Linked DNA regions of Arabidopsis thaliana. The protein of the gene in region 2 interacts with the protein of the main gene of each other region in a pairwise test. Each region holds a gene or a part of one and is shown on either strand. Other genes may lie near its edges.

Region 1 (10,707 bases), on a different chromosome or scaffold from region 2:
TTATTTGCTATTTCGTCTTCACTGTCATCTTTTCCCAAGTCTCCTTCTTCCACGGCTTCTGCAAATATATTCTGACTGAACCACTGGTTGGATATTTCCTCCTTTGTTTGGACCACTCCATCATCAAGTGGTACAACAAGAGGGTTTGCCTCATCCTTTTCTTCATTCATATCTGAATCGTAATCGATCTTCATTTCTTCATCTCCATCACCTTCCTGCAAAGCCAAAAAGAAAAAAGTGTTTAGTTCCAAAAATCTGTTCTATCCTAAGAAATTGGGGTAAGAAAATGATAGTACCTCCAGCTTTTCAGCATGGGCCTGCCTAGCCCGCTTCCTTTGCTTTGCGCTTCCTTCTTTCTTCACCATATACCGCTCATATGCCTGCTCAAAAATCTCTTCCATTTGTTCAGTGTATCTGTAATGTTAAAAAGACTATTAAGATGAAGTAACTCCACAAACTTCAGAAATATACGACGTTCTTGTAACAGCACTCTATAATCTACAAAAAGGTATAGGTTTAGCGGTCGTACTTCTGACGTTCTTCATCAGAATCTCTGTCACTGTCTTTGGAGTCATCTGAAGCTCCTTCGCCATGGTCTTCGTTCTCACTGTCAACGGCATTGCCATTATCATCTTCATCATTGTCAACTGCCATTAGATCTTTCTTTCCCTGTAAAGAAAATAAATGAAAATCTTTACAATCTCATTCAGAATATAATGATATGTTCAAACAATTGAATTGTAAGAACTGATAGCAGGGTGAAAGGAGAATGCTCTTCAACCAATGAAAGAGTAATAAACACTTCTTCGAATGCCATCATAATAAACAAAATTCCGCAGAGATGGTATCAAAAATGAAGTACCTTGATAGCATTAAGAGAGAACAATTCATTGTCGACGAAACCATCTTCAAGTACATCCATCTGTGGACCAGTCGCCTTCCGCGCCTTGTCCTGGCAAAAGATATTGAATTTAGTGAAGGAAGTATAAAGTCTAAGGGATCCATCACTAAGGCCACTGACTAAGACATAAAGACTTGATAGGTTATTATCATAAGGTTAAAAATAACCTTAGCCCTTCGTTTTGCAAGAATCTTCTTTGCCTGTTTCTTCTTGCGGTCAACTGTGTTTGTCAGCTCTTCCAATTCATTGAGTAGTTTATCATCTTCATTTTCCTCATCTTCCTTTCCCACATCAGGCTCAGGTTTAGCAACTTCCTTTTTCTCAGGAGTCAGAGCTTTCCTGATTTGCATTCGCCATCTACAAAATAGAGAGTTCAATGACCATTAAGCAACTAATATAATTTCTAGACGCATAGATGGATGACGACAAATGCTAAAGTCTTAACAAAACCAGTAGTTTCCCACACGCCAATTCCTAACACCCATGGACACCCGTTTACCCATTTCACACAGTGCTTTATCGGGTTGAGCACTCAAAACAGCATAGGTAAAAACTTGAAGTGCTAAGGAAACCGTTCTTTACCGAACCAATTTACAGCTAACTAATTCTACAATAGCTGAATTCATTTTAGTCAAAGCTCTACCACATCCTTGGAAAAGCTTAGAAATTAACAAGTGAGACATAAAGATTAAAAAGATCCATGAAGGAGTCAATAATACTGTTCTTACTTTAGGATATGCTTGAAGTCATTCTTCCCCAAGACAGGAAGATCATCGCATAGAATTTTAATCTACCAACAGAAAAATAAAACGTTACCATGGCGTAGAGAAGGACATAAATACTTGATTAGCAAAGGTATGGAAAATTAGAAACAGTACCTCCTCTGTCGTCAAATCATGTTCCTTTAAAGGTAGAGAGGCTTGATCATCAAATGATATGGAAGTAGTCGTGCCAAGAACGTCAAGAGGATTTTCAGACCAAATGAAATCAGCAGCAGATGCAACTCTTCTCAAAATGGACTCCCCATCTTCATACCTGTAAATTACACTCGGTTATAAAAAGTTCATCTATAACGAAGAAAAAACAGATGGCGGATTTTGCCTACCCATCACGGTTTCTCTTTTGTTTTGATCCTCCAAGCACATCCACCACCTGCAAACACAAGTAGTATTACACACAAAACTTTAGGGACAATGGGAGAGTTGTAAAAACAACTCCAAACACCAAATAAGCCATAGTGATTACCTTTCTCGTGGGTTCTGCTGACTCCTTAAAGAGATGTCTATAATCAAGAAGACGGGGATCAATCTTGGCAGGGGCTAAGTATTTCAAACCCACAAGATATGTTTCTGCAGATGCTGAACGACTAGCCGGCGGCTTAAACACTTCAACTTTTTCAAACAGCTGAACCAATAAAAATGCCAATAAGAAAAAAGGCTCGGGAACACACATCTAAATGAAAAAGAAAAAAGAAAAAATCAGAGTTATAAACAAACAGTACCCTCCCAAGACAGTAGAGCACAGAGTTGTAGTCTCGAGACCTGAAAACCTAAGAGCAGAAACACACATAAACCAAAATTTCAGAAAAGTCACATCACTGATGGCACAAGATCAAAGACAGAACAAATTCAAAATAAAACAATCGGAAAGTAAGTTTATTTCAGAAGCAGACCTTGGTGACTAAATTCCCGTTGCGAGCTAAGAACTCAGTGGCTAATCTAACAGAATCAATAACCAAAGCGTTCTGGCTCATAGCCTCTTGTGCCCACGCACCACCAACATTTGGAGACCCATCGTGCAGAACCAAATTAAAAGCACTAACACCATGCTGCTCCATCACTTGCTTGATCTTCGATTTACACTCAGTCCTTGTGATATCTTGCGTCATAGTAACACAGCCACGAACAGGGAGAATCGGGACAAGATCGATACCGAGAACGAGGCTGCCGACGGGAACTTTCTCGACGGCGACTTGCATCCAACCACCAGGGGCGGCGCAGAGATCGAGAACGGCATGAGCTGAGTGGAGAAGAGAGTACTTGGCGTCGAGCTGAAGAAGCTTGTAGGAAGCTCGAGAACGGAATCCACGTTCCTTAGCGAGACGATAGTACTTATCCAAACGATGCTTTCCTTTGACCTTACCCATGGCGATATTTTGCTAGGGTTTCGTTCTGGTTCTCAGCACACGGAGGCAGAGAAATAGCAATTGGGGAGGAAGAAGCTACTCAGCTAGGGTTTAGGGTTTATTCCGCCTTAGTGTAAACCCTTCGTCTCACAGAGAGGATTTCAAATTTCTATTTTGGACAGGCCCTTTAACCTCTTTCTGATGGGCTTCTTAAACGGCCCTTTAATATGTTTAGAAAGAAGCTCAACTTTTTTGTCAACAATCTAAGAAACAAGATGTTGTATTGGAAGCAACACAGACGAAATTGAGGTATCAAGTGGATTGTTCTTGGAACACTAACATCTAGACGAAGTTGGATTTATTGTTCAACGTTAAAGAAAGAGTTGCGCTATGTCCGATAAAAAATTTCTTGTAAGGATATTGTTCAAAGATTAGACTAGAAAGAAATTGGATCAAATTCCAATTTAGCATTGAATCCCTTTTGTCTTTTGTAGAAGTTAAGACGAATTCTCTAATACACATTTCCACTTCAATATTTTACCACACTAGATTACTAAAGAAGACAGATTTGGTCTCCCTCTTCTTGTTCTTAAAAAGGCAAACCTAATTCCATGACAGATAGAGTAAGAAACATGAATTTTGACACTAATCCTGAAACTACAGGATTTGTTCGTTTAAACCAAGGTGAAGGTAATAGATAGATTATAGATTCCAGATTTGCATTACACAAACAGAACTAGAACAAAAAACAAAACTGTCCTTCCATCGTCGCAATATGACAACAAATTTTTCAAGGGAACCCTGAACCAGATGGTGCTGCTGCACTGTAACCGCCTGCACCACGGCCAAAACCAGGCCTACCACCACCTCCCTGCCAACATACAACACGCTGTTAGACAATCTCTTCATCAACTAGCTAAAAGACTTTAAACGAAGCATATTGGCACAGTTAACTAGGAGTGATTAGTAAGTGGAAGGCATATAGGCTCAGTAAACTAGGAGTGATTAGTAAGTCGAAGATTTACTTGGAAAGACGGCTGGAAATCAGCTGGAGCTCCACCCTTCTCATCACCACCACGTGGGCCTCCACGGTATCCATCACGGTCACCAAATCTGGGACGGTCTCCATCAGAGCGAGGTGGTCCTCTGAAAACAAAAGCCAAAACAATATCAGAAATTAGCCAATCCCTCAGACCGGACAGGTCAAGGGATTTAAAGATGAAACTACCTTTGGCGATCACCAGGTGGGCCACCAAAGGGACGACCACCGGGCTTAGCAGACTTCTTCAAAGTAGCAGGGACAACATCGGAAGGAAGGTTAAGATAAGTTCTCAAGAACTCAATTCCTTCATTAGTCAGAAACCAATAATAATGCATCCACGCAAATGTCTCCCTAACGTACTCCTTGGACTTGAAACTCTGCATGAGCTTAATCACTTGCAGGTTTGGTACATCAATCAACGGATGCTTTGGGAGATTGAAATCCTTCTTAGCAAAGCATACTCCCTCTACGAAACCCAGTAAGATATGATCATTTAGTATCCACACAAATTCTTTCTCTAGACAACTGAGTACAGTACTAGATAATAAATCCCTCAACAGTTATATACCAATCTATCATACTCTTCAAGAATTATAACTTATGAACAAACATTGTTAGATCCAGCATTCCAATTACTCTGAACCTTACAATACTACTTTATAAACAAGTTCATATCTAAAATCGTAGGCCTAAAAGGAGCTGAAAGCAAGCATAAATCTTTTCACATTTCAATGCAATTGTTTCTCACTACAAGCTTAGATTCGAAGATCCCTAGAGAAATGTAACTAGCTTAAACCTGGTTCCACTAGCTGAAAATAGAAGGAAATGAAAGAGAGCATGACTCACAAACCTTTGAAAAGGTATTTGCAGATCTCTCTGCGATTGTTCTCTGAGATAATCTGATAAAAGGACGAACAAGATCACAATTAATACTCGGATAATTCCTTCCATTACATTCAGTAAATATGTAAATTTAGAGAAACAGAGTAGAAGCAGAGTATGTGTATACCATCGTCTTGTTGGTTGAGCTTTCGCTGCAAAGAGGCACTGAGCTTGAGCAAAGGGGAGCAATAGGGTTTTCTGCGGATAAAAGACGATTAGATTATATATTACGGATTTGGGCTTTTATTGGGCTGATAATCTAATAATTATTTGCTACAAAGCTGGCCTTTACATGGTCCGGTTAGATGGTTAACCGGTTCCATATTAGATTTCGGAGTCCCATAGTGAATTTTCTTCTGTTAACGGGAGAATCATAGGCTGACCTAGAAAAAAAATTCACATAATAATGACCAACAATGAATTAAATCATAGTAGGATGATTCAAATTCTTGTTCTTGGACTAACAGATTAATTTGCAACCACTAAAACACCATAGTTGGAAATTATGAATTTGAGAATTGAGATTTTATTTAAAATCTTGTAGTTTGGTAAGTGAATCATTCAATTACAGTCACATTCTAGGATTTGTGTATCTATATGATCTTCACTCATTAAGGTTTCGGCGCTAGATTTCATGCTAGGCTTAAATTTTTACTCAATCCAATCTTACTCCTTCACTCGCCACCTAGTGAAGTCAACGGACAAGTTTGTCATAAAATAATGTAGACGTCAATGTTTTTTGGAGACACAAGTATTTGGTCCCAACAACTCATGTTGCTTTCTCCAGCCGTACATCACGGTCAGAACCAATTTTGTAGTGGGCGAACAAAGCTGCTTGCATATTGATTCAGTGACTCAAGCTGAGGAACACAATCTTAAAGACATGCTGATGGAGTATGTTAAGTAGATTAGGTGGTAATGTAAACCTTGCTTCTCAAGAAACGTATTCCTTGTTTCTCAAGTTTGAAACCGGATACCAATGACGGACGTCCCAACACATATATCCTATTCAAGTTCCCAAACTCCAAGATTAAAACGTGATATACATATGAATTTTAAATTTTTGAGTAAACCTTTGAAGTTAGTAATAAAAAATGAATTTGGATTATAACTGAGTCAGGAAGCCAGCTTGGTCGAGACAAAAATTACTTGCTAAACAAAAATGTTCACGGGCGACCAATGAAGTTGCATGTCCGTGAACCCATGAATACAAAAGAGATGTGGCATTTTGTATGTCAACTTGAGCACAACTATTTATTGATTTCTACTTTATTGTTTGTCAACATCGTGAATGCCTACTTCTTAACCAAAACAATTTTTTTTTACATTGTTATTGACCAAAAAAAAAAAGTAGCTCGCTGTTTGTTTTTGGATAAGCAGACGTATAAATTGATGTACCCAAAGTAAAGTCTAGGATCTGCAACAATAATAGATGAAATCATGAATATTAACATCGCTTTAAGACACGGCCACTAACATAAATGATAAAACAATCAAGATCATGAATCCAAATCACAACTGAACTTTTAAATAAACCTTTAATTTTATATTTGTACATACATTTAGAACAATAATGTATAAACTGATATGGTTTTCCAGAGGAGGTGAAGACCATGTAGACCCGTGACGATCTCTTTTTTTTGGCCAAGTTAGAAGATACACGAACATGGCTCAAATATCTCTTAATCCAGTAGATTCTCTATATTCCCTGCACACGTAACCCAATCATAGAAGGCTAGATAGTACATCAAATAGTTCTCTTGGTTTTCTAGTGACATTATGAATGTATGTGAAGCTCATGGATATACACACTAAATACATGATAGAACAATGTATAAAACGAAAAAAATAAAGGAATTTATACTTTCATTAACTCATCCATCAATAAATTGCTTCTTTGTGTTCATCCATCAATTAATTTGCTTCTTTGTGTATATACCACGAAGTCTACAGAAACAAGAAAATCCCTTATATATAAAATTAAGCTTAAGAAATTGAAAAGCATTTATCTTTTGGAACCCGAAACCCTTTTAAGCAAAACAAGAAAACACAAAACACGATATAGTACGAAGAACCCTAACAACATATAAACATTAAACCACCTCTGTCTCTCATGAAGCCCATTCTTGTCTAACACGTCACCTCCAGTAACTAAGCAGCTATTCACAGAAGCTTCCTCAAACCAGACCAGGCACTTGTTGTGCAGACACGAGTACTCATTTATCAGAAGTGCGTCCAACGCATACTTGTACATTGAGAAGAAGTACATGAAGAGCCAGTACTTGGGAAGACTCTCTTTAGAGATGAAGTAACCAGAGAACAAGAAGAAAGCCGCAAGAAGAATGGTCACTGAAGATGTTCCAGCAATGTAGTTAGGTGCGAGAGAGCTCAAGAAAAGTACAAAAGAGTTAGCCATTAGGACAATGATCCAGATTACGAGCACAAAGTAGGCGAGAGCTTGCCATGAAAAGCAGAGTCCTACAAGGAAATAGAGTGAGACAGAGTAGATGATTGCGATGAGTAGCAAGTATGGCAAGAAAACCAAAGTGTTTGCAAGAATGTGAGAGGAGAGTCTGTAGAGTCCGCTTGAGGTTTCTCGGAGAAGAATAGGTCGTTCATCAATGAATATTGGAAGGGTTTGGGTAGTGGAGGAGAGGAGGAATGTGAGGGTGAATGCGAAAAGGCCAAATCGTTTCCTGATTCCTTCTTTGCCAGTTCCGATATTAAGGTAGATAGTGCCTAAGACAAGACCGACTACAAGAGATTCTAAGATGTTTGTTAGAAGCAACTGCCTTGTACGGTATATGATCTTCCAAAACCTGCTAGAGAGAAGGCTTATTTCGGTGATTCTCGAGCTTTTATATCGAACAATGCTCTGTTTTTGGTTCTGTTTTTTACTTTCAGGGCAGTGGTCTGGAAGAGCAATGTTGGCGTTTTCGTAGGGATCACGGATGTTCTGAAGTATCTCCATAGCGTACTCAAGAGAATTCAGCTGAGAAGGAACCGTGAATCCCTTGGAGAGCAAGAATGCTTCAAGTAAGTCAAGCCTTCCATGATATACAATGGTTCCTTTAGAAAGGAGTAACACGCGATCGATGAGAGACAGGATCTTGAAGCTAGGTTGGTGTATGGACAAGATCACGATCCTTTCTCTGGACGTCGCAATAGATTTGAGAATTTGAACGACATCGAAAGCGGATTTACTGTCTAAACCCGAGGTGGGTTCGTCGAGGAGTAGTACTTCCGGATCATGAAGAAGACTTAGACCAATTGAAACCCTCCTGCGTTCACCACCGGACAAGCCTTGACCTAGTCTTGTATGTGCAAGATGTGTTAGGTTTAGTTCTTTGAGGAGAGAAGCAACGACACTGGAGACTTTTGATAGGTTTTTTGGGAGCAAGAGAGAGGCGGAGAAAGTGAAGGTCTCGGAGACGGTGAGGAGAGGGAAGAAGGTGTCGTGTTGAGGAACGTAGGAGGAGATTTTACGGTAAGAAGAAGGGTTAATAAGGACGGAGTTTAGAAGTATTGAGCCTGAGGTCGGGGAGGTTCTTGCGGCAAGGATATCAAGGAGAGTTGATTTTCCGGCGCCGCTAGGGCCAATAATGGCGAGGATTTGGGAAGGATGAGAGGTGAGAGTGATGTTGCGGAGGATGAAGGAAGGTTGCTCCGCCGTGAGGAGGAGCGGTGAAAGAGGTTTGGCGTAGGAGATGGAAGAGGTGGATAAAGTGTACGACTCCATTTTGAGAGAAATGTTTAAAGGTTGGAGAAGGGAAGTGAGTGTTGTAAAGAGAATTTATTGATGCTTGAGTTTGGAATGTTTTGTATTTTCCAATGAAATTGACAATTTTTCAGTCTTTTTTTCTTTCTTATTTGTTTTTTGACCTTTTGGTTAATTATTTTGTCTTTTCTGTCATTTTGAATTTTGCGTTACATAGAACTCATCGAATATAATTGTGGTCAAACGGTGATGTAACCAGGATGCGACAGTAAGACAAGAGAGAGTCAGATATTGAAGAGATCATTAGAGATTCAAGTCCAAATTAAGATGGAGTTATTAGTGAGAAGGTGGATCCAGAAGAAACGAAAATTCTTAGATATATTCTCATAAAGAAAGCTTGCTAACAGTTACGTATACACACATTTATTGAAAACATGTAAAGATGGATCAAATGAATATGCATGTGTGTCATAGTGAATATATATTGTTGAGAAACTGAGAAGAAGAAAGCCAAAGGGGAATGCAGATAAAGGTCACGGGCCTGCTGACAATTATTACACAGAAAATTGCAAATCACGTACAAGTCTATTTCCCAATCTCTGCATCTTCCTTTGTTTGTTTGGCACACAATTTGCCAAACCATTTTTACAATTACATATTAATGACGTGACCAGTCCTGGATTTGAAGGAGTTTCTATAAAAACAATCTGGCTTAAACGTTAGTTAGTTATAGTTACTTGTGGTTGCTTTTACTTTAGGTATATCACCGTACATGCAAATGAATAAACTTTAGGAGTTAATAGGTGAAATAATTGTAAATGGTACAATTTCTTTATCTATGAAAGAAAATATTCTAAACAGAATTTGAATCATATTATAGTAACTTGTTATACATATCACATATGTGATATGTTTATATAGTTTGTTATACTAATAAAGCATTCTCTTCACTTTCTTTGGCCATCAATATATCCGTATCTCATGTTGTGTTTTTCCTAAATTTCTACACATAATAAAAAGTAGCATGTTGTTTCAAAGCCCCTTAACGGGTACAAAAACAAGAACAGAGTGCAGGGCTAAACAGAAGAAAATTGACATTAGGAAATCAGAAATAAGCCCATTTGAATGTGGATCAATATTGAAAAAAATGTGTGAAAAGCAACTTGCAATGTCACAAGATAAATATACCATGCCGTATATATCATAACTGCAAGAACAGACCCAAAACTGAAAAGTGAAAAGAATGTGTGTGGGTAAGTTAAAGAGTAATGAAGGCCGACAGGCGACAGTGGAGGAGGATGGACCAGACCAGGGTGCTGGGCGATGAGGACGTCTCGGCTAAAAGCTGAACCACCCTCCACTCTTAGGTCCCACAAAGGCTGGTCCTCGTTCACAAATGTACTCTCTCAAAGAAACACCCCTTTCTGCTTTATTACTATTCCCTCTCGTTCCTCCACTTTTTTGTAGCAGCTTCCACATGAATCATGTCATAACTGTTACAACATATTCCAAAAAAAAAACTATAGAATATATGTAGGAAATGTTAATCACTCTGTTTTTTTTGTATCTTTACTCTTTGTTTCTTCTCACTAGATACCGTCCTATACTTCTATTAGTGCATAACACTTCCTTAGACACTTGCTTTTACACTTTCCAAAATTATTTTAAACATGTATGTATATGATCATGTCGCCATGGTTGACGATATATACAATTATTGTACTTTCATCTCCTTTTCTCATCTTTTCTTTCAATAAACCTTATTTTTATTACCATATCTTCTCTTTTTCTTGCTAGCAAATGTTGATTATTTTATTGTAATTAAACTGTTGTTTATGACTTAATGTTCAAACTTCAAATAACATGTGTGAACTGTGAGGCATGCAATAATGATATTTGTTGCATATCTATCAGTTTTTAAAAGTGTCATCATAGCTCTATAAAGCTGTCTATTTAAATTAGATATACCTATCTCAAGTTCACTAATCCGTATCTAAAGAGAAAGAAAAATATCTTGATAACTAAAAATGAGTTTTAGA
Region 2 (11,268 bases):
ACTCCTAATCCCTCCCATTTTTCAAACCACTCTCTCTTTCTCTTTCTCTAAGTCTTTAACAATGGCGCGCCTTCTCTTCCGTCTTCTCCAAGAAGCCAATTCTACATCTCCGGCTGAAGCTTCTCCGCCTTTCAACTCCGACCTCGTCCTCATCCTTGCGGTTCTTCTTTGTGCACTGACATGTATCATCGGCTTAATAGCCGTCTCTCGATGCGCTTGGCTCCGCCGTATCGCCTCAAGAAACAGATCGGATCAAACTCATCCACCGCCGGTAGCTGCAGCCAACAAAGGATTGAAAAAGAAAGTCCTCCGGTCGTTACCGAAACTCACCTACTCGCCGGATTCTCCGCCGGCGGAGAAACTCGTGGAGTGTGCTATCTGTTTAACGGAATTCGCCGCCGGAGACGAGCTTAGGGTGTTGCCGCAGTGTGGACATGGTTTCCACGTATCGTGTATCGACACGTGGCTTGGATCACACTCTTCTTGTCCTTCTTGCCGTCAAATCTTGGTGGTTACCAGGTGTCATAAATGTGGCGGGTTACCCGGTAGCTCAAGTTCAGGACCCGAACCCGATACCCGAATCAAACAACGTGAAGATGGTCCTGATAACTTGCCTTGATTCTTTTCTTTAGACATATCCCATTTTATTTTTTATAAAGGGAATTCGATTAAACAAAGATATAATATTAATTAAAAAGTGTTCTTTATCATTTTAAAGGATAATGTTACTCTGTCATGTATATATTTAATTATCTATTGTAAATCTATCATGGAATGGAAACTTTATGTCATTTAACCCTTTATTTGTTTTTGTCAATGTATTATGTAAACTTTATATAGCTAGAGACCAAGAAATAGTTACCAGAACTTGAAACTAAGACGTTGGACCACACCATTTATACGTAACTACAATCCTAATTATCCGGAGTAAAAATTTGCCTTAGATGGTTTTGTCAAAGAAATAAATAAAAATACATAGTATATTCTTTGACAAAAACCATCAAGGGACTCTAGTCTACCTAAAATGTTGGTTGTTCGTTGCTACAAATTCGATTTAACTAATGGAATATTCCATAATTAATGGGAAAAGTAGACAGATGGACCAGTATACGTAGAACAGATGGTGTAATGTGTTTTGTGTGAGATTTCTTTTTCCCTTTTCCATTAATAAAGCAGCAAACTAATTGTCGGGTTTTGTATATTTAATTTGTTCATGTTTTATGTTAAAAGTATTTAAATATTGGGAACACGAGACTGTATCCCACTAAATCATCAGACACGACTTTAAATTATTAGAACTTCGAAAATGACCATGAAGATGAGCTTATTTTGTCTTCGAACAATGACCTAACAAAAGATCGCCAAAATCTTAAAGAATACAACTAAAGTGCGAGATACGACAACTTGAACGTAGTTTAATAATAATTAGCCAAGATGTAGATAATCACGCATACGAAAAAATAACTGATTATGGATTATTTCTCTTTCGCCGTCTAACCATTGAGTATAACACATATGAATAGTGATGGTCCACCACCGCGAGATATCATCATTCATCACGAGTTTCTCCACTATGGAAAGTGCGTCCATGTTCTCCATTAGATTGCATAATTGACATTGAATATAGATCTACCACAAAAATATCCATCTTAATTTTCATCTAACGACTATAGTTTTGATGATATAGCTCGTAATGGTAGTAATTCACTAATGCTCCAACAAATAAATTATCGAGCTAATGCTCCAACAAAAAAAAAAAAAAAAAAAAAATTATCGAGCTAAAAGCAAGCTATAACCATTAACCCAAAGAGGTTGAATGTCCAAGCATTACTGTTCTTCAAAAAAAAAAAAAATTGAGCTATTTATGTTTATTTTAAAAGTACTATTACATATGGTTAGTTGTAAATTGTACGTGTGATGCATGAGCATGATCTATTATATATCTCTTGGCTTTTATCTCCATGGATCATGGATAGATGATAGCATTATATTGCGTGGCTCTCTTATCATATTATTATAGTAATGGATATTTATTTCTGTAGAATCACAAATAAAGAGTAGGAAGTCGAAAGTGAAGGCATGCTTTTTGTTTGTTAAAAGGAAGAACTATAAATTCTCATAGAAAAATGATGAGACCAAAATTCCCAATCTGGCCGAAGATTCCCACATTCCTGTTTTTGCATTATTAGTAAGCTACACATTAGTTATTGACAAAAAAAAAAAAAAAAAAAAGTAAGCCACACATTAGTTTTTTTTTTTCCATGAATGCTTTATTACCTAGGTAGTGGTGTTACAGTTAAATAAAAATCATCATCGGTTGACAATATCTGAAGGCAACGTAATGTTCAAATTCAAATTTGACGAGCAGAAACCAATTTCTTTTAGAACTTTCACGCTTGAATAAGACTACATATCTAATAAACTAAGTATTTTATGTTAGGGAATTTATATGTGAATGCATCATGAATTTATATTATATTTTAAAGCTGAAAATCTTGATTTATCGATCATTCATATATCAAGAATAAGACCACATAACAATTGTTACTCGTTTAGGCGTTTACCATCTATTTTCAAACTTAAATTAGTTTTCATAATTCGTTATATATTATTTTATCAGCGGGCCTCGCTGGTGTTTAATATTTAGTTAAAGTCAACTTCTGGGCCTCGCTGGTGATGGGCTTCATAGTCCGAAACTATGACCAAACTTGCTAAAGCAGGTAAACCAAACTGACAAAGACATTGTAGCCCGCTTAACCGGTCCAATTTAGCATTGTAACAGAAAATGTCATTTTTGCAGTCCCAAAATTATGAACACAATTCATACAAAAAAAAAAAATCTTCAAAACAAGAAACAAAAAAAAATGAATATGAGGGATAGTCTATCAAAAGCAAAAAAGAATAAATAAACAAGAATGACGTCAGAATAGTTGCAAATATTATTGGTATTTATGAGATCACATCGAATAGTGAAACGCCCACAAAATACAGTTCATCAAAAGTTGTAACACAATAATAGCTTTTACCTGCAAGGCTACAGCAATCAGCCACATAACTTTTAAGAAATTTGTTCGACAAAAGATTTTGGATCTTAGGAATAATAATTTATATAATTTGTATTTTACAGAAGGTGAAAATAAGAAAAGACCAAATATAAAATCCAAGGGCCAAGATTCTACAGCTGGAATCCTAAAGGACATGGAGAATCTAGTAGCATGTGAAGAGGTCCAGGAGAAGACGAAAAACCCAACAGACCATAACTCGCTTCCTGAAACAGAGGGTTCTCCAAGTAATCTCGTACGTCAATTTCGTTACCGTTCGAAGACTGCTCTGTTTTCACGCCGAGGTTAAAGTCGAAGTCGTCTTCGTCGTTGTTGTTGTTCCCTGAAGGAAAGATGATACCGTTGAGCTGAGAGACGACAGGGTTGATTAAGGCTTTGAGCTCGTCGATGTTGTGGCCTGATGATCCATGAAGGAAGTTGTTATTATTGTAGTTTTGGTGTGGATCATCGTAGAGTAGTGATGGGAAGTTGGTTAGGGTTTTGTTGGAAGGTTCTATAAGCAAAGGTAAGGCTTCATGATGATGATGATGTGTTGTTGAGAGTGAATGGTTATGAAGGTAGCTGATTTGGTTATGGATTAATCCAACATTTTTTCTGTCTCCTGTTTTATTGAACACTCTGCAAATCACCCATTCCTCCTGTGAATTTCCACCAAAAAGAAATGAAAAACCAAAACATGTTATTACACATTATATAATGCCTACACCTTAAGATCTTGTTTGAAATGTGAGCCTGACAAATTGATTTCTGATAATGATAAATGTAATTAGAAAGGTGGGATACAAAAGAAAGCAATAGTGATGGAAAACGACACAACAGTGTATCGGTGAACAGAAAACGGCAAGGTGTGTTTGGTGTTGACATCCACACCACACGTACAGGTTTATATCAAATCTATCACATCTAAACTGCTCTCTCCCCTGTCCTCCCCATACTAAGCCAAACAACATAGTGACAATACTATTGAAACAAAACACATGAAATGGGAAAAAAAAAGTTAAATATTTCGTTAAACCTTTCTTTTCAACTTGTGGATTTAAAAAGTTAACACATTAATGGAGAACAAAAACATCAAATTTCTATTACATTCGCAAAGTTAAAAAGAATTTAATGTTATAAGAAATGGACGTGTGGGAATAAAAGTAACAGGGTTTAAATTACTAGTTTCACACACTAGTAGTATAAAATTTTTGGTTTCAAAAAGTCAACTCATAAATTGACAAGAGAAAAAATACAAATTTTTTTAAAGAAAGAGATGCACGAGTGAGAGTGAGACGCACGAGTGAGAGTAAAAGAGTGTTAATTTACCTTACACGTGTGGCGGTGTGAATGGTCGTTTTCGAGGCGATACTCATGCATGACCCACTTAGTCTTGAGGCCACGTGGAGCCCTACCTTTGTAGAACACCAACGTCTTCTTCATCCCAACAAGCTGTCCTCCTCCGCCGGAGAAGACTTCCTTATCTTTGCCGGTAGCTTTCCAGTATCCAGCAGTAGTTGCTCTGTTAGTCCTCAAACCTGTCGGATATTTCCTGTCCCTTAGACTATAAAAGTACCACTCTCTCTCTCCCATCTTCGCCATTTCTTCATATAACAACAATTTCAAAACGTTACACTTTTTTCTTGTTAAAAGATTTATCAAAATATTCAACTAAAAACAAGATTCCAAAATAAAACTTATGAGGTAAAGAAGAGACAAAATGTATAATATATTACCTGGTAGCTCCCAAGGTTCACAGCGGTTGAGATCAACTTCGGAAATGTGAATGCCGGAGAGACCACCATGGAAGATTTTGGAAGCTAAGTAGAAGGTAATGAGCTCTTCGTCCGTCGGGTGAAACCGGAAGCCAGGTGGCAATCCTCTCTCGTTCCTTTCTTCTCCGGCGAGTTCGCTTAACACATCTTCCACCGCAAGCATCATCTTTTACTTAATATAACTGAAAAAGAGACTTTTTGTTACACTGAAGAGACACCAGAAGGAAGAACAAAGATAGCAATGATACAAAAGGTGATGGGAAGTATAACCTTATTGTGTGCAAGATTATATATTTATATACCAAAATGGCACATAAATCGAAGATATAATAGAGATAGAGAGAGAAAATGGAGTGTGTATGTAGAGGTATGTGTATAGATGTGTGGATTTTGAGTGTTTGAGGTTAGAGGAGCATTGATGATAAAGGCTGTGAAATTCAGGGAGCAGGGGCTTCTATTTGCCCTCACCTGGGGAGTGAGTCTCTTTCTATTTTTCCCTATGCAAATAATAATTAAAGTATATGACATTCTAAATTGTAAAACAACTTTTCCCGTTTTGTGTGTTTATCACTATACTGCTGCTTTAGCAAAATTCTTATGGTCTTGGAGTTTTGATTAGACTGGGTGATGTTAAGTTGTGATCTTTCGTTAATGACTACTCGATTGGTCAATGGATCATTTACAGTGTTGTTTTTGTACTTTAGCTAACTACAAATGTAATTTATGATAAATGGTGTTGACGTTTTGGTTTTGGGTTTTATGTCATAATTTTTATCTATTTTTCAACAAAAGCTGACATTTTTCTCTTGTTAGTTTGAACAAAACGAGAGAGAGAGCTGTTTAATAAGGATACTGTTTTGGGTGTATATTAGTTGAAAAATACCATAATGCAAACATCCATATAATGTTGAGTTTTGCATAAATACACTATTTTACAAAGAAAACCAAAACTCTAGTGCCCTTTATCATCTCTTTAAGATCATTCTTCCCACGCACCAAATAATGTGTTTTCAAGGAAAGTATCAATATTACATTTGATCCAGACTAGTTGAACTGATATCATTAAAGTTTGAGAGGAAATATATATGCAATGCAACCGTTATACTAAAGACACTGATAAGAAGGTAATCTCATACTCCAAGTCGATCGATTTCTCAACCAAAACAATTGCAGTCGCAGTTAAAAGTTTTCAGATTTCAAGAAATGTGAAACAAATAATGTAATCTAAAATTGCTACATTTTGTGGTTATCAGCAAATAAAATTGACTTTAAAGAAGAGAAAAGGAAAAGAGTGTGCAGTAAAAAGATGGCAGAGGTTTATGCGTGCGGGTGTAAGCATATCATTATACATTCATGAGTCAGACCTTTTTTTCTTTTATTTTATACACATTCTCCCCTCAGATATATACCAATTCCTTTCGATCGTTTCCTTATTTTTCCTTTAACCACTTTCTCCAACGGTTAACTCAATTCTGTGTATTACACTTTGTTTCTTTTGTTGGTTCGGTTGATTCTATACTCTTCCTCATAATAAAAAATGGAATATAAGGTTGTTTGTGTTTCGGTTTTGACACATATTTTTACTATCATTTTTTCAAAAAAAAAAAAAACGAAGCAAACATGTTCGGTTTATAGTAAACCAACAATACATAAAGCATGAGTTTCGTCAAGTGTCTCAACACAACTATTTAAAAAATTATTGTGAGAAAAATAATTGGAAACAAAAACTTTTAATTCATATTGTCGATATTAAATGTTTGACAAAAATGTAAGATAAAAATTAAAATGAAACAGTAGAAAGATAGCAGGTGTCGGCGGTGGCACGTGTGTGTAGAATGATACAAAAGAATCAGGTAAAAAGATAATAAATGCAAACGTACTACACTATCTATCTATCTCACTAAATATTAACTGCCCACACGATCTTATGTTAAATCTCCCAAGTCATTCTTTTACCCTAACCCCTACACAACCCTATAATATTCATTTTTAAATATATATATATATATAAGTATTACACAAATAGATTTATAAAAATTAAAATCTAATATTTGAAACAAATGTTTCATCCAATAATTCAAAACCTGCTGTACTTGCATAGGCTTACCTAAGCCTATCCATTATTAAATGCTTATTATATATAGTTTCTGTACTATTTACAATCTAAATTATTTTTCGTCAGGGGATCTATAATCTTTATAGCTCTGATAATATTTCTGTGACTCTCTTTTTTTATCCTTTTCAAAATTGTTATTTTTTTCTATTTCAGTTTAATTATTGCCCAAGTGATACCATCGGTCTGCTATATATATTATAGTGCTGTTCACCTGCGTCACAAAACAATATTATTGGCCCCTGTCAAAGTATATTTTTTTTCATCCTTTAAAACTAATCTGTCTGCGATAATAATATCATTAAACTTGGCAGAATATGTGTATCTGGTATAATAATTTGGAAATCTTTTGTACTCGTACGTCATTTCAGTAACATGCACTATTTCAGTTATTTATTGATATAGTAAAAATTAAAGTTAATCCAGTTAAGGAGCAGAAACGGTACTGGTCTGTGTAAACAGAACTAGTGTATAAAATAATAGTCCAATTTGTTTCAGAATTACAGGGCTAGTAATATACAGTATAATGTGACACTTAAACTTTAAGAGATTAGGTGAAACAAAAATCACTAAAATGAATATAGATGACTGTTTGTCACATTTCTTTTATAGTATATACCTGTATATGTCAATCAAATGACAAAGAGGGTCCCCTATTCTCTTGCTCGTCTTTGTCTGTTTGTATTTAAAATGTCTGTATCAAAGTCCATTTTAAAAAGCTTTTACAATATTTTATTTTAGAAAAATGACAACAAAAATAAAGTTTACCTGTAGAGAAAATACCAAAAACAATGAGTAATATCAATTATAAATGTTAAAGTTAAACTGCAAAAATATATATTACACATCGAAATAGATATTTTAGTTTAAAAAATTTCAGAACACAAGTGGATTGACCCACCAATTTTTACTGTTTTTTTTTTTTGGAATTCGACTAGATACAAACTCTAATTAAGTCACCCTCCATCACTAACTTATAAGAAAAATTGCAATAAAAAAAAAAAAGGAAAGAAGAAGAGGAAGAAGAAGGAGAAGGTGGAGAAACAATAAATGAAGGACGAAGAGGAAAGGACAATGGCAGCACCGACCTGCTCCACCAGAGAACGACCTCTCACTCATTTCCCTTCACAAGCTATCTTTTCTTCCTCCAAATTTTGCTTCTTTAATTTCTACCACTTTTTTTTTTTTTTTCCAAATCATTAAATGATCAAAATGTGAAGCTTGACTTAATACTATAAATTAATCCCTATATTTTCCGTATCATTATATGATTGATAGATCTTACAAAATGTAATAATCATTTCATCATTCGTTTTGGGGTAGCAATCATAGCCTATATACAATAATGTTAAGCGAGTAGTCTGCTTCGTAGAGTATAAATTTTGTAATGTTAAGTGATGTAAGTATATTTATGAATTATCTTTTGGCTAATGAATAAGTTTGGTCCAGCTTATAGTGATAATATGATGCGAGTATGAGGTTATGGAGATTAGTGTTATTACATTTATAAGACGTCCGTACAGTGGATGGCAATAAATGTGAAAGGTTTTGAGGATACTGGGACAGACGAAGCCTTCATAAATATGGGCGAAAAGTTGCATATTTGGGGCCGGGGGACCAATAAAACCGTGCACATATATCATATAGTATTATTGAGTTTCTGGATAAAGCTTTTTCAAACTTATGCTTGTATAGTTTGTATTGTATCTCTAATTAGTAATTGGCACGACTATGCATATTCATGTCACAAAGATCCAAAAGGTGAAATATCTAATTGATGATCATGGTTGTGTTTTCAGATTTTCCCCAAAGTTCTTAACAATACTTTATTTTCCTAAATATCTAGAATTTTATGTGAAATTTTCCTACTGTTAGTAACTTTTTTCGTCGCTATAAAATTCGTATAATAATAAAAAAACTCATAAAGATGCGACTAAAGAATAAAGTTGGTTGTTAAAAGACGGTATATAAATTCTATATAGAAAATAACATTAGACAAAAAAACCTTTCTATTAGCTAGATCTTAAGAATCTCAAATCAGTTTCTTCTATAATGAAGTTATATAGTAAAAAAAAAGGTACTACTAATTCATAATGAGTTATATAAAGGTGGTATTAAGGACGATATGGTAGGTTAATCCATAAATGTAACTCGAATGTGAGCATGTAGAGAGAGACAGACGTATCCGGCGACGGCGTAGGTTAGAGGGAGGGAAAAGGAGTCTTTCCACATTTGTTTTATTTTGATGCTCTGTTTTCTATTTTAGTTACATTCCTTTCTTTGTTACTAAATTATATTCCTGTTAGGGAAACTATTAAATTAACGTAAGAAGACTTAATTTTATTACTCGTGTGTTGAACTACAAAAGCTTTATTACTCTGTTCGTGTATCCAGTGCCGGTCCAACATTTTTGAGGGCCCTATTCGAGATTAATTTTTTTTCTTCTTTTAAATTACTACTTAAAATCTCACATAAGTGTTTTTTCCTTTAAACGACCCATAGTTCAAAAATACAAGAAACATAAAACATCAAAAGCAAACAAAAAATAAACCAAGAAATATAGAAAACGTTACATAAATCATAAATGATAAGTTTCAAGCACAAGCTTAAGAACACTAATTGGTTAAGAATTTGCAATTAAATAACTTATGAAATCCTAAACAATTGCAGTCTGCAACACTTGCTCGGCAACTTGCAGACATAGTTGTTTGAGAATTATGAGAGTGGGTGATAGACTAACATGCATGGCTAAAATTTTTGGTATATGTAAACTCAAAATCAATCTCCACATATGAAAACAATATTATATGACCTTAATAATCACATCCACCTTTTTTTAGTCACTTATTCCTCACGAATCACAAAAAATCTCTTGTAAAGTACTCCCTAGTAATTAAAATGGAATCTGCAACTAATGTAATGATTTGGAAAGAGTTAATGTTTCTATAAAAGTCTCCCTACTTATTGCAGTTTTTACTCAGCTTTATTGATTAATTAAAATTAAATTGACTAAAAAAGGTTTAAAATTTCAAGACCCTAAGCCGTCGCTTATGTGGCTTATGCCACGGGCCGGCCCTGCGTGTATCTATTTTTCTTTCTTTCTATATGGGCCCAAATGGGCTTAAGTGAAGAATTCTTGCAAAGGTAAGGATCATAGTGAAGAGTTCTTGCAAATATATGCACGGAATCAAAAATTTATGTAAACATGAGACTGAGAGAAAACAAAAACAAAAAAGAAACTTTAGTATCAACAATCAAAAACCCAAGGACCATTTAGAGTTAATTAGAGAGTAATAAATCAAAGCACGATTGCTTTTGTCGTGATCTTGAAATTAGTATTGTCTCCGAAGTAACTCATTCGCAGGAGACGACCCTGCTGACGTGGAAACAATCTCGTCTTCGTTCTCTTCTAACGATCTTCCCATAGTTTCACGCGTGAACAAATACGTTACGATCATTCCCGCGATACAAACGCCGCCAAGGATCAAAAACGCGATTCTCACACGTTTCACATCTGGAAAACCGTCCTCTTCATGGTGTCTCGTGGCCCACAAGAAACCGACAGTGCCAACAATCGCACCAAACTTCCCTGCAGCTCCAGATATCCCGTGACACGTGGACCTAAACCTAGCCGGAAAAAGCTCCGCCGGGATGATAAACGTCGTCGTGTTAGGGCCAAAGTTGCTAAAGAAGAAAATCAATCCGTAGAGAACCATAAAGCCTTTATTAGTCTTCTCATGCTTAGACCAATACCAACTATACGGAATCCCAGCGACTAAGTAAACGACCGCCATAAGGAAAAACCCCATCATCTGAATCTTGACTCTACCGATTTTATCGATGAAATAGACCGTGAACCAGTAACCAGGGATGGTGGAGCAAGCGGCTACAATGGCTGCAAGCTTAGCTACTTCAAAGGCAGAGTCGTAGACGTTTGTGGAGTTGAGGGGTTTGTTGGAGAAGTTAAAGATTTGAGAGAGAAGGAGATTGCTTGTATAGAAGACGACGTCCACTAGGAACCAATTGGCTGAGGCTGCGAAGAGGTCTCGACCGTGGAGACTGAGGAAACGGCGAGAGAAGAGTTTGTATGAGGAAGAAGACGGTGGTTGTTCTAGCTCCGATGATGAATCTTCGGTTATTTGAGATATCATTGATACGGACATGACTCTTTGCATGTCTTTTGCTGCTTGGACTACATTGTTCTCAACCAATGCTGTGTATCTGCATGAATTGTCATAAAATGTAGTAGTTATCATATTTAAGTTTTGTAGGAAGGTTCAAATATTTATAATTTTGTAAAAAATATGTAACAATAGCTGTAGTTGGTTGACATTAGATG
Region 3 (11,029 bases), on a different chromosome or scaffold from region 2:
CCTATCTTACTTAGATATGAGTTTCGCGATGGGCCGCGCCATAATAATTTTATAAAGGGCCATATGAATTTTGGACAGCTTAGAATTATCGACGTAAATCTTTAAGCCGATACATATACTCAAACTCAACATTTGTTGGATCTGCCTTAGGGGTTAATCTTTTTCTTTTCTTCTCTTTTGTGCAAAGGGGTTTCTTTTTAATTTTATTTTCTTCTTCTAATGTGTCTGTATTTCAAATACATATTTTGTGTCGATTATGTTCTTATAAAAAAAATCATAAGCATCCACACTACTACATCCATCGCCGGTCACCCATGGGAAGCAATGTGACTATAGGAGCATTAGGCTACAAACTTGATCACGAGTCCAATATTTTTCTTTAGAGGGTATTTTTATGTCTAATCAAACTATCAAAGTACTCCTCCTATCTTATAATCCAATATTGGGTCTGACTAATAATACAAATCTGTATAATTTTTTTAGTTGTAAACTGGAATGGTAAACTTTTATGAAGTAATGTAAAATTGTAAGAAAGAGTGGTACATAAAAACTATACCGAAAAACTGAGAGTAAACATTTTAATAACGTTTTTAATAACATTTTTGTGATTGATAATTATCAAAATTATATATCATATTCTACATCGGTACAAAATTACCATTTTGAGCTATTAAAATCACAAGTATTCGTCACTTTTAGGAAAATTCCAAGATTTATTTTACAGTATAATTGTATAGTAAAAACTGAATTTTAAAAGGGAATATAATATATATATATATATATATTTATATTTATTTATTTTTACTTTTAATTTCATACAAAAATTAAGAGGATGCTTGTGCATCTCTTTTTCTCCCATGCTTTCCGTCGGTCGTCAAACTAAATCCTATAACTACTTACAAATTTAGGCTTAGTGAAAAAAAGGTCTATATGATTTTTTTTCTTCTCGGATGACTTCTTTATTTATGTTTTTTTCTTCACGGTCACAAAAAGATATATGAAACTTTATCTTTCTTTTTTTTGGTCAAACATATGAAACTTTATCTTAAGAATTTATATAATACGTTGAAACATTTTTAAGCAGAGGAAGATGCCTATCTATGGTCAGCTCCTACCATGGTCCTAGTACTATGTCTCTGGTTCCACCAACATTATGTATCGTACTATCAGTGCCAGATTCTCTTATTTATGTCTATGGTTTGTGATCTATGCATGTATGTAGGACCTTGTTTATAAGTTGATCTGCATTATTATCCTTTATACTCCAACTTTACACTTATCATCAAGTAATATAAATTTAACCACTGGGATATAAAAATAAAATTTGACTTTGTAAGGAATTATTGAATCATATAAATATATATCTTAATATCAGATCAAAACCATAAACTTTCATGTAATACATTAATGCGATGTCGCTATTCACACATTTAGATCCAAGAAACTTAAAAAGTGGTCCTAAATCGGGACTTTGCTTCACTTACAAGAACAGTACTATTGTTGATGTTCTATGTATATTATTGTAACAGATGATTCAAACTGAATCATTTGCTAAACAACAAATAACCAACTGCTTGAGTACAACTACATAACGTGACAGAGTATATATTGATAAAAACAAATTCAAAAGTTGTAGTTACGTCGATAATCAGCTATTGTTTTAAAAAACAAAACCTTTGAAACAAATAATTGATCTCTGCTAAGGTATAAAGAATCGTAATCAAAATTTTAGTTTACGAATGCGTAGCTAAATCGGAATCATATATTTATTCAGTTGTCATATTCTTGTATGTTCATAATTAATTATTCTTTATGTTAGATTATTTTTTCTCAGATGAGAAGTAATTTTGGTAACAGAACATTTTGTGAATATGTGTTCGAGTTTTCGTTTCTTGGGAAGATGTTTAAAGTCTCTTTCCTTAGTTCAGTTGATTTTTGGTGTTATTTACAACTATGAACAAGTACAGTACATTCCATTGGCATGACTATCCAAATGTCCAACATTTTTTTTGGTTTGTCACGTGTGAGGGATGTGTCTTTAATCAAGTAGTTAAGTCCATCTGATTCCACCGTTTCTATCAGAATTCGATTCTACTAAATCTCGTTACCTCGCGTAGTAAAAATAGACCATATATCGGACAATGTTGATCCAAAGATGTTAAAAGAAAAAGATACCACGTGCCAGAAAAATTACATAAAAAGTTTCAAATCAAATTCACTCAAGCACTAGACTATCAAGGTGTTCACATATCTTACACTATTAATATGTTATTACAAGTAATAAATAAATTTGGGTCGTATACGTTCTCCATCTATGAACATATCAGTTTGTTTGTTAGTCCAGACCTAGAATCAACTTCACTTCGTCAACAATATGGTCATTTAAAGTATGAACCATATGTTGTTCAAAAAAAAAAAAAAGTATGAACCATATGATGGTTGTAATGTTGAAATTACTCTTAACTTTCGTTTAGATTAACCATGATGGTTATAATGTTGAAATTAGTCTGACTTTCGTTTTAAATATAGTTTTGATAGATGTAAGAATTAATTATTTTGTTTGGAATATATATAAGGGTTGTGTATACCAATCGTGAATTGATTGCTAAATAGAAAATCACGTGGTCAAATGCAATCTGTTGTGGTCACAGGAGAGACCACAATAGATTTACATATCATAAGAACCAACACGTATAACTTCTTGAAAATGGCTTAACATTATAACCCGGACCATCTCATAAATCTCCTTCTACCAATCAGTCACTACTTTGTTTGGACCTGTCTCGTCTTGTCTAGTAGTATCGTTGGGTCACATAATTTAGATAAGTATAAAACAATGTGCCTTGAAAACTTTTCTCGTGTAAAAATTATGATTGAATTATCACAAAACTTTTCTCACATTTAGATCCAAAACTCGAATTATTTGCCATAAAAAAAAGATGATATGAAAAAAGAAACAAATAATTCGAGTTTTGGATAGTATCGTTGACAAAACTTTTGGATATACTATACTTCGACTGTCCAAATTCCACACCTTTACCTTTTTTGGAACTAAAAACATAGGTGGGTCACATAAAAAAATTGTAGGGATTACATTTACGTAGACATCCGTAGGTAAAACAATAAGGTAAACATTTTTAAATTTGTATAATACGATATCAATTAAATACGATATGCCTCTCCACTACCACTAGAACGAGTAAATGAGTTTATGGCTAAAAGTCAAGCGGAACTGCGGGAGCCTACCATCTATAATGCATAATGAAAAATAGATCCACGTAGTCAAACAATATCCACTCTTTACATCTACCAAAAATCAATAGTATCCACAAACTATAGAAGTTCACCATATTTACGCTTCATGTTGTAGAACTTGAAATAGATAAGATTCAAAACCCTAATCATATGTGCATGAAGATAATTGATCGTACGCATTAATTAACCAGTTAAGAAGAAAACAAAAGGATTTGATGAGAAAATTAATTCGAGGGACAAGTGCATATGTTGTTGCATCTAATGAAAGGTGTTTATGCAGAGAAGAATTTGTGGTTGGGAAGATGGACAACGAATAAGATGATGAGTATGAAAGATGCTGCGAGATAGGAAAAGGTATTTTCATTTTATGAATATGTATTATATTGGTTTAGAAACGTTATTGAAAATCTAAAAGAGAACAATAATTAAAAAGATAAAAATGAATGAGAATTTGAATGGTGGGAGTCATAGAAACAATGGGTTATTGGGGGAGTGAGGGATGTTGACAAGGCAAAAACATAGCCTTTGAGGGTTTGGTATGTTTATTGCTTCCCCAATTGGATGTGACTTGTCTCACTATCTTCACCGGATTCAATTGAATAGTACTTTGACTAGGGAAGATGTGTTTTCTTGTGGATATAGGTCGGAGATCGAGTTACCCATCAATAAATATCTACTGTTCGTGTTTTTCAGTCATATTCTATGCATTAAATGTTAATAAAATCCGATCTTTCAAGGATTTCAAAAATTAGTATTGTTTGGGTTATTAGATTGTTCTTGCTATCAAGAAAACCAAAAAAAGGAACAAGCAATGTGTCTTTGTTCGACAGTGCACCACCAATCTGAAAATAATTAGACTACTTCTTGGGCAAAACATTTATTTAATTTTTCTATGCTCCTAGAAAGTAGAAACGGCAAATTACGTAGATAAGTAGAAACAAGTTTACCAGAAATCTCCAATGTAGTGCAAGTAGAATTATTCGTTGGGCTCTCGGAACTCGGAAGCTAATGCTAAAATAGTCCATCATGAATGTAGTGCATCTGTTTTACTAATGGTTTGTGCTAATTAATGTTGTTTATATATGATAGGCTTCCGCATAAGTGATGTTGCTTTTTATTTTATTTTTATTACTAAAAAGTTTAGGCCTAGGAACATACGTCCTCTCAAACTAGAGCATTTTATATGGTTTCTTTCCAAATGTCATTACAACTGGTGATTTCTAGGTTTTGTCTTATAGTCTTTAACAATTGAGCTATTAACACTCAGTAAGTAATGTTATTGACATAAAAGAAATGTTTATTTGTAATATGATCAAATTTAACGATATATTATCAACCAAATAGTTTTATAATAATTATTTGAATACTAATAAAAATAAATATAAATGACTGTATATGTCGATAATATTAAATTTACATGATCTTGATTTACTAATACTCAGTTAGATTGTAACTTTTAATATTTTCATCAGATTTGAATATCAACTTTTGCTGGATATTTTAACTTTTTAAGTAAAGTATTCATTATGGTGTTATTAATTAAAAGGATTATGTATCATTGGAATATTTTATTGTATCTAAAATAATAGTCATTTTATTTCCAAAGATTTCCAAAGGATATTATCCCATAACCACAAAACAATGGGTGGTATAGTTTATATAGAGATCGCAAGTAAAATCCATGTGCACTTTTAGCTTATTTAAGTTTTGAACGGCTCATTATATTCTTATTATTTTTGATATCCAATGATTAACTAAAATCAATGATAAGAAATTTGATTATAATACGTCTAAACAAAGAAAATGTAATTGAGCATGCTAATAAATATAGTCACAAAGCCGCACTTTCCGTCGAACAAATTATACGTTCATGTGTGGTTATACTTGAACCACATGATTGGAAGGTTCGGAAGACAAGCTTATTTTAATTTGATTATGCTCTTTAATAATGATTTAATGGACAACTGAACAAGCCCATTTTCCTAAAATTGCCCCATCATTTCCCGGAATTTCAGGACAATGTTGAGAGAAGATGGTCCAAATTGAAGTAAAATATATACTAAGATTGTTATCATTGATTATTTGTTGTACGTCTTAATTAGGATCAAACTTAGTTGGTCATAACTATTTTCACCGATGCTGACTTCGAAAGTTTTAAGAAATATAATTATATGATTAAATCATATAATAATGTTGACCAAATACGATTCACGGAATTTTTACCGCCCAATTTCTGTATACATGTGATGTGATACGTGAAGAGTTGACCAATGGAGGCAACGTCTAACAAATTGGTAGGCAATTAAAAAAGTACATTAATCATAGAAGTGATCAATAAAGACATTACTTAGACATGTTGAAAGAGGTACTCATGTTTTTATAATATCATTTTTATTTACTCGGAATCTTAATATATTTTCATTTTTATTTACTTAACATATTTTGGGCAAACGTATGTTCGTATTTTCAAAACCTAAGAGATGTAACAATATCATTCAACAATCAACGGTCATCACTCATCACCTATACTTTTCAGGTTATTGACATGAAAGAGTGAGATTTACTAAAACAACCTACCAACGTTTAGCAGAAGGCCACGTGTTGAGAACCCACATTGCAAGAAAATGTAGGGATTCCATGCACTACAGCAGATACACAATAGACCTTTGTATTTTAATAGTTAAAGAATTAGAAAAGTCAGACGACTAATCACGGGTTTAAACCGTTTTTTTTCTACCACTATAGTATAGTACTATAGTCTCTTTCTTCGTCCCTTATATTATCGACTCTATCTCCTTACCTCATTCTTGTTCCCCTCTTATCAAACTTCACCCCCAACAAGAGTTATCGAGAGAGAGAGAAAACATATTCTGATTTAAGACATATATAGACAGCAAGAAGAGATATGAACCTTAAGGAGACGGAGCTTTGTCTTGGCCTCCCCGGAGGCACTGAAACCGTTGAAAGTCCGGCCAAGTCGGGTGTTGGGAACAAGAGAGGCTTCTCCGAGACCGTTGATCTCAAACTTAATCTTCAATCTAACAAACAAGGACATGTGGATCTCAACACTAATGGAGCTCCCAAGGAGAAGACCTTCCTTAAAGACCCTTCTAAGCCTCCTGCTAAGTAAGTTCTATTTACACAATTCCTTAAGAAGAAGACCTTCCTTAAAAGGGAAGACTTTTTTTTTTTTTTTTTGAGATAAAAAGACTAATAGTTGATATAAAAGTTCTTAAAATACATATATATGAAAGATGTAAGGATGCATAAGTAATAACGTTATTGAATGTGTGTGTGTGTTGTTATATTCTATGCAGAGCACAAGTGGTGGGTTGGCCACCGGTGAGGAACTACCGGAAAAATGTTATGGCTAATCAGAAGAGCGGCGAAGCAGAGGAGGCAATGAGTAGTGGTGGAGGAACCGTCGCCTTTGTGAAGGTTTCCATGGATGGAGCTCCTTATCTTCGGAAGGTTGACCTCAAGATGTACACCAGCTACAAGGATCTCTCTGATGCCTTGGCCAAAATGTTCAGCTCCTTTACCATGGGTATGCATTTTCAGACATATAAGTCGAATTATCATTATTATTTTTGTGTTTACTTACAATTTTTTCTTTTTAACGATACAGTTTTTTCCATATACGACTAATTAATATGATAAGTTTTGGGATTTTGATTAATTAAGGGAGTTATGGAGCACAAGGGATGATAGATTTCATGAACGAGAGTAAAGTGATGGATCTGTTGAACAGTTCTGAGTATGTTCCAAGCTACGAGGACAAAGATGGTGACTGGATGCTCGTTGGTGATGTCCCCTGGCCGTGAGTTTCCTCATTCTTCTTGCTTTCATTATTATGACCAAAATTATTCTCTAAACAAAAAAAACAATATTCTCTAAAGCATTATTATTGATATTACTTATCAAAAAAATACACAAAATGATAATCAATATCCATGTGTTATAAACACGCACAGCCATCTTTTGGTTGGCATGGGACAGAACTCAGAGACAGAGAAGATGTTTATATATAAATACTAACTCATCAATATGTTACCTCATTTGTAGCTGGCACATATTCTTTCACTTTCAATAGATTTCTAAATTTAGTCACCAACCCAAATCCCGATTTCAGGATGTTTGTCGAGTCATGCAAACGTTTGCGCATAATGAAAGGATCCGAAGCAATTGGACTTGGTAAGTTTTCTTTTCTGTTCGTTTCTATAAGTGGCTCTTTTCTGTTTTTCCAATAATGCTCGTGTTTTTTTTTCAGCTCCAAGAGCAATGGAGAAGTTCAAGAACAGATCATGAACAAAAAAAAAAGAGGACAATATGCATTGATTTTTTTTTTTTGGTATTGTTATGATCATGTGTTTTTAATTTAAAATATTGGAAGTATATAGGAAAATATAATTGTTTACGAAAAAAATAACTTTAAATATGTCTTTTTTTTTTTTTTTGAAATTAGTCTGTGTTTTTGTTTTCATCTCTTAATTAGTAGAAATCATTTTTTAATATGTAATTGTGATAGTAAATCTATAGAGTTCGTATTTTTGCTATTTAAAATTTAAAATGCTAATACTATATATAATTTATGATAGGTAAATTTACGTTAAATAATTTATCTCCACTTTTCCTACTTTATTATTCTTTTCCTCTTTATTTTCTCATTTATTGGCTTTACAGATTATATTTGAAATTTGTAACTATTTTTGATGTATCTAAAAACATTTCACATAACAATTTCTTAAGAAAACTAAGAAAACTGTTGGTATATTTTTTGACTAAAATGGTTTCCAAAAAGATTTTGAAACGAACTAAAATCTTCATTACAAAACCAATTTTAAAACTACAAAACAAATATTCATGGTTTTAAGTTTCTTTTTTCTTTCCTAGTTACGTGGGAATACGTTATTAAATTCAGGACCCATGAGAGGCGTAGGGAACAAGAGCATGTGCATATTCATGGGTCTTTCAAATTCAGTCCATCCTCTTCATGCTAATGTGCCCTTCACCACTAGAAGCATAAAAATTTTCTTTCCTTTTTGGAAAATCTCTCTGTTTCTTTTTTTTCAGTAAAAATTAAGATTTCATTTATAAAAAATATCATAAGGGGTAAAATACATATGCCGGGTAAGAAAAATAACCAGTTCAGAAGTTAAGCCGGCGAGAAAACGGATTTTCTAGAGACAAATACATATACAAAAAGGAAAAATTCCAGAATAAAAAAAACATATTAAAACTGATCCAAAACTTCCCAAACTTATCACTTAAGAACTCAAAAATCTAATACAAATTCTAAATCCAAATTAAAACAAAATATAGATCTGAGATTAGAGATCCATTCAAAGAAAATAAAATCAATATTCTTCTTACCGTAAACGGCGGTGAGACAAACCAACACCCGAAGACCCAAAGGAAAAAAATCTCATAAAGAAAGGAAGGAGATCGAGATCTTCAATGGTGAGAAGTATGCATCTAAGGCGTTGAAGAATCGAATAGATCTACCTCTGGCATGGTTGGAACGACCAGAACTAAAGCTGTAGATGAAGGAGTAAAAAACAAGCAGCAAATCCCGTAGATGAAAGGATTTAGACTTTATTGATCTAGATATGAGAATTTAGATCTTAAACCATTGGAAGAAAATATGATTCAGATCATACCAAAACAAAAAGAAATCAAAACTAAAGAAAGAAAGTAAAGAAACCTCGCTTCCGATGCTGAAAAAAGCCACTGAAACAAGTAATCTTAGGCAGCGGCGGAGAAAGCTTTTTTATAGAGAACATAGAGCTTTTATTTTAAGAGACAGAAAATTTTTTATTAAATCAAAAGTGATTTTTGAAGTGTTTGGAAAATCTCTCATTTTTCCTTCTTTTTTAATATTTTACAGAAAGTTAGTTATTTGACACAATAAATTAAAAATTATTATTAATTTCCCATTAATGAACTGAAGAATTCTAGTTACTCCTACAATGAATGATAGTTTGGATAATTGATGAAATGATTCCGAATTATTCTCCTCCCTAAATGCTTGGCATAACATCAGAATATCTAAACCATTAGTTCTTTAGTTGGTTTTGGTATGGCATAAGGTGAGAATTCCTAAACATGCTTTCGCAGTTTATAACTCTTTATTTTTAACCTCAACCCTACTATTGATAGGATTTTTTTTGAGATGTCATGTTGAACAAACTTGCTTTAATGTGGCATTGAGGGAGAATCTAGGAATTCACCACTTGCACTTAAATTATTCATTTTCAGCTCAAATCTGAAACAAAATTATGGTAAAGTTGTTGCCTACAACCCTACCTATTGAATGATTCCAGCACCATCCGCCTGTCATCAACAACTTCTACAAGCAATGACATCTCCATTGCACTGCTTCAAGCATGTCATGCGTGTGTTTACGAGGTTTGGCATAAGAGTACCACATGCATCCACAACGCCACAACTCTTTTCCAGCTTCGCTCTACTACAAAGTTCTCAATGTTGTGAGAACAGAGCACAAAGCATGGTCCTTCACGACCCAAAAAGGGTAAAAGCTTCTCCTATTGTATTGCTTTGGAATGTTTTGGAGAGATCCTTCCTATACAACTCCTTTTTGGAGTGATTTCTTGAAAGCTCTACTTCGATGGAAGAAGCACTAGCTGTACGAGCTATTATTATCATGAGTTTCTCTTTAATCTTTTGAAATTAGTCTTCAATATGGAGTCTGTCATGGAGACTTTCATTTAGGTTCGTCGGAACTTCCTATCTGATAAATTTTCAAGCCTTTGTCGTTATTTATAATGTATCGTTTCAATCTTGTTTTTAATTCTACACCGTATGATCTTCTCTGTTTTGAAATTCAATGTTGAATACAATTTGCTTGACAAAAACAATAATGGAAAGCAGTTTGGTTATTGTAGTCATGGTATTTGTTGATAATTCTTTATTTTTTCCTGATTTTACCTGGCTGATGTTTTGTTTAGTTTTTTGATAGAAACTTAGTTTTGATATTTGAGTATTGCTTGTAAGAAAAAATCTTTGAATATTTGTGGCATAACATGGACTAATGGAAAACCCAAGCTCTTAAAAACCTGGACTCAAATATGAAATTTTCGCATCACAACACTTTAAAAGAAAAACTAATATTACATGCTGTGGTTTCGGGCCTGGAGGAATTACGGGCTTCGGCCCAGAACCTCCTGAATTTCAAAAAAAAAAAAAAAAAAAAAAAAGATCAAAGATCAAAGATCAAAGGTTACGTTTTAGATATGCCCTTGATTACATCTCATGTTCCCTGCATCAAAGTAGAAAAAGTTTTTCAATGACTCTTTTTAGCTTGATGCTATAATTATATTCCCACTACAATTTTTTAGGAAACATTTTACTCTAAAAAAAATGTATGTCTCTCTCATTTGATTTTTCCTCCTAATTCAACCATAAACTTCGATATCCTAGTTTACTTTTGTTACTTTCATCTTTCACGAATAAACACCCTAACCTTCTTTTATTCTTTTTTTTTGAAAAAAGTAACACCCTAACCTTACGAATCATAAATTTAATATTTATTTTGTTACGTTAGTGGGTTGAACCTAGTTTTAAAAAAAAAATTCTGTAAACATTATACTAAAAGTTAAACATATATATATATATATCATTAATTAATAAAAATGAAAATTTGCTTTTATCATTTTACAATTAAGAAAAATGATGGGAAAATTGATGTCCCATCGTAGTCACCATGCCACCACCGTACATCGGAGCTCCTCCACTTCCACTTCCAGCTCCACCG

Evidence for each region.
Region 1: the proteins of CUC3 (region 2) and AT4G25740 interact in binary tests that used the Arabidopsis thaliana proteins (3 or more experiments, as listed by UniProt).
Region 3: the proteins of CUC3 (region 2) and IAA14 interact in a two-hybrid assay, tested with the Arabidopsis thaliana proteins (one study listed by BioGRID).

What each region holds. Positions count from the first base shown.
Region 1 is NC_003075.7:13,103,672-13,114,378, forward strand, and holds AT4G25740 (RNA binding Plectin/S10 domain-containing protein), read right to left. Parts: upstream 5,157-10,707; 5' UTR 5,081-5,156; coding exon 5,078-5,080; intron 4,968-5,077; coding exon 4,919-4,967; intron 4,535-4,918; coding exon 4,255-4,534; intron 4,173-4,254; coding exon 4,052-4,172; intron 3,898-4,051; coding exon 3,817-3,897; 3' UTR 3,465-3,816; downstream 1-3,464. Other genes in the region: AT4G25730 (FtsJ-like methyltransferase family protein), read right to left, coding at 1-215, 297-414, 530-669, 863-952, 1,069-1,258, 1,630-1,691, 1,780-1,936, 2,007-2,053 and 3 more; ABCG4 (ABC-2 type transporter family protein), read right to left, coding at 6,956-8,689.
Region 2 is NC_003070.9:28,668,854-28,680,121, forward strand, and holds CUC3 (NAC (No Apical Meristem) domain transcriptional regulator superfamily protein), read right to left. Parts: upstream 5,193-11,268; 5' UTR 4,983-5,192; coding exon 4,778-4,982; intron 4,646-4,777; coding exon 4,371-4,645; intron 3,701-4,370; coding exon 3,176-3,700; 3' UTR 2,953-3,175; downstream 1-2,952. Other genes in the region: ATL8 (RING/U-box superfamily protein), read left to right, coding at 62-619; PHT1;9 (phosphate transporter 1;9), read right to left, coding at 10,262-11,150. UniProt on the Arabidopsis thaliana protein: Transcription activator. Involved in molecular mechanisms regulating shoot apical meristem (SAM) formation during embryogenesis and organ separation. Required for axillary meristem initiation and separation of the meristem from the main stem.
Region 3 is NC_003075.7:8,345,055-8,356,083, reverse strand, and holds IAA14 (indole-3-acetic acid inducible 14), read left to right. Parts: upstream 1-5,820; 5' UTR 5,821-6,160; coding exon 6,161-6,381; intron 6,382-6,572; coding exon 6,573-6,802; coding exon of another isoform or gene 6,803-6,903; intron 6,904-6,939; coding exon 6,940-7,075; coding exon of another isoform or gene 7,076-7,079; intron 7,080-7,387; coding exon 7,388-7,505; downstream 7,506-11,029. Other genes in the region: NF-YB3 (nuclear factor Y, subunit B3), read right to left, coding at 10,936-11,029. UniProt on the Arabidopsis thaliana protein: Aux/IAA proteins are short-lived transcriptional factors that function as repressors of early auxin response genes at low auxin concentrations.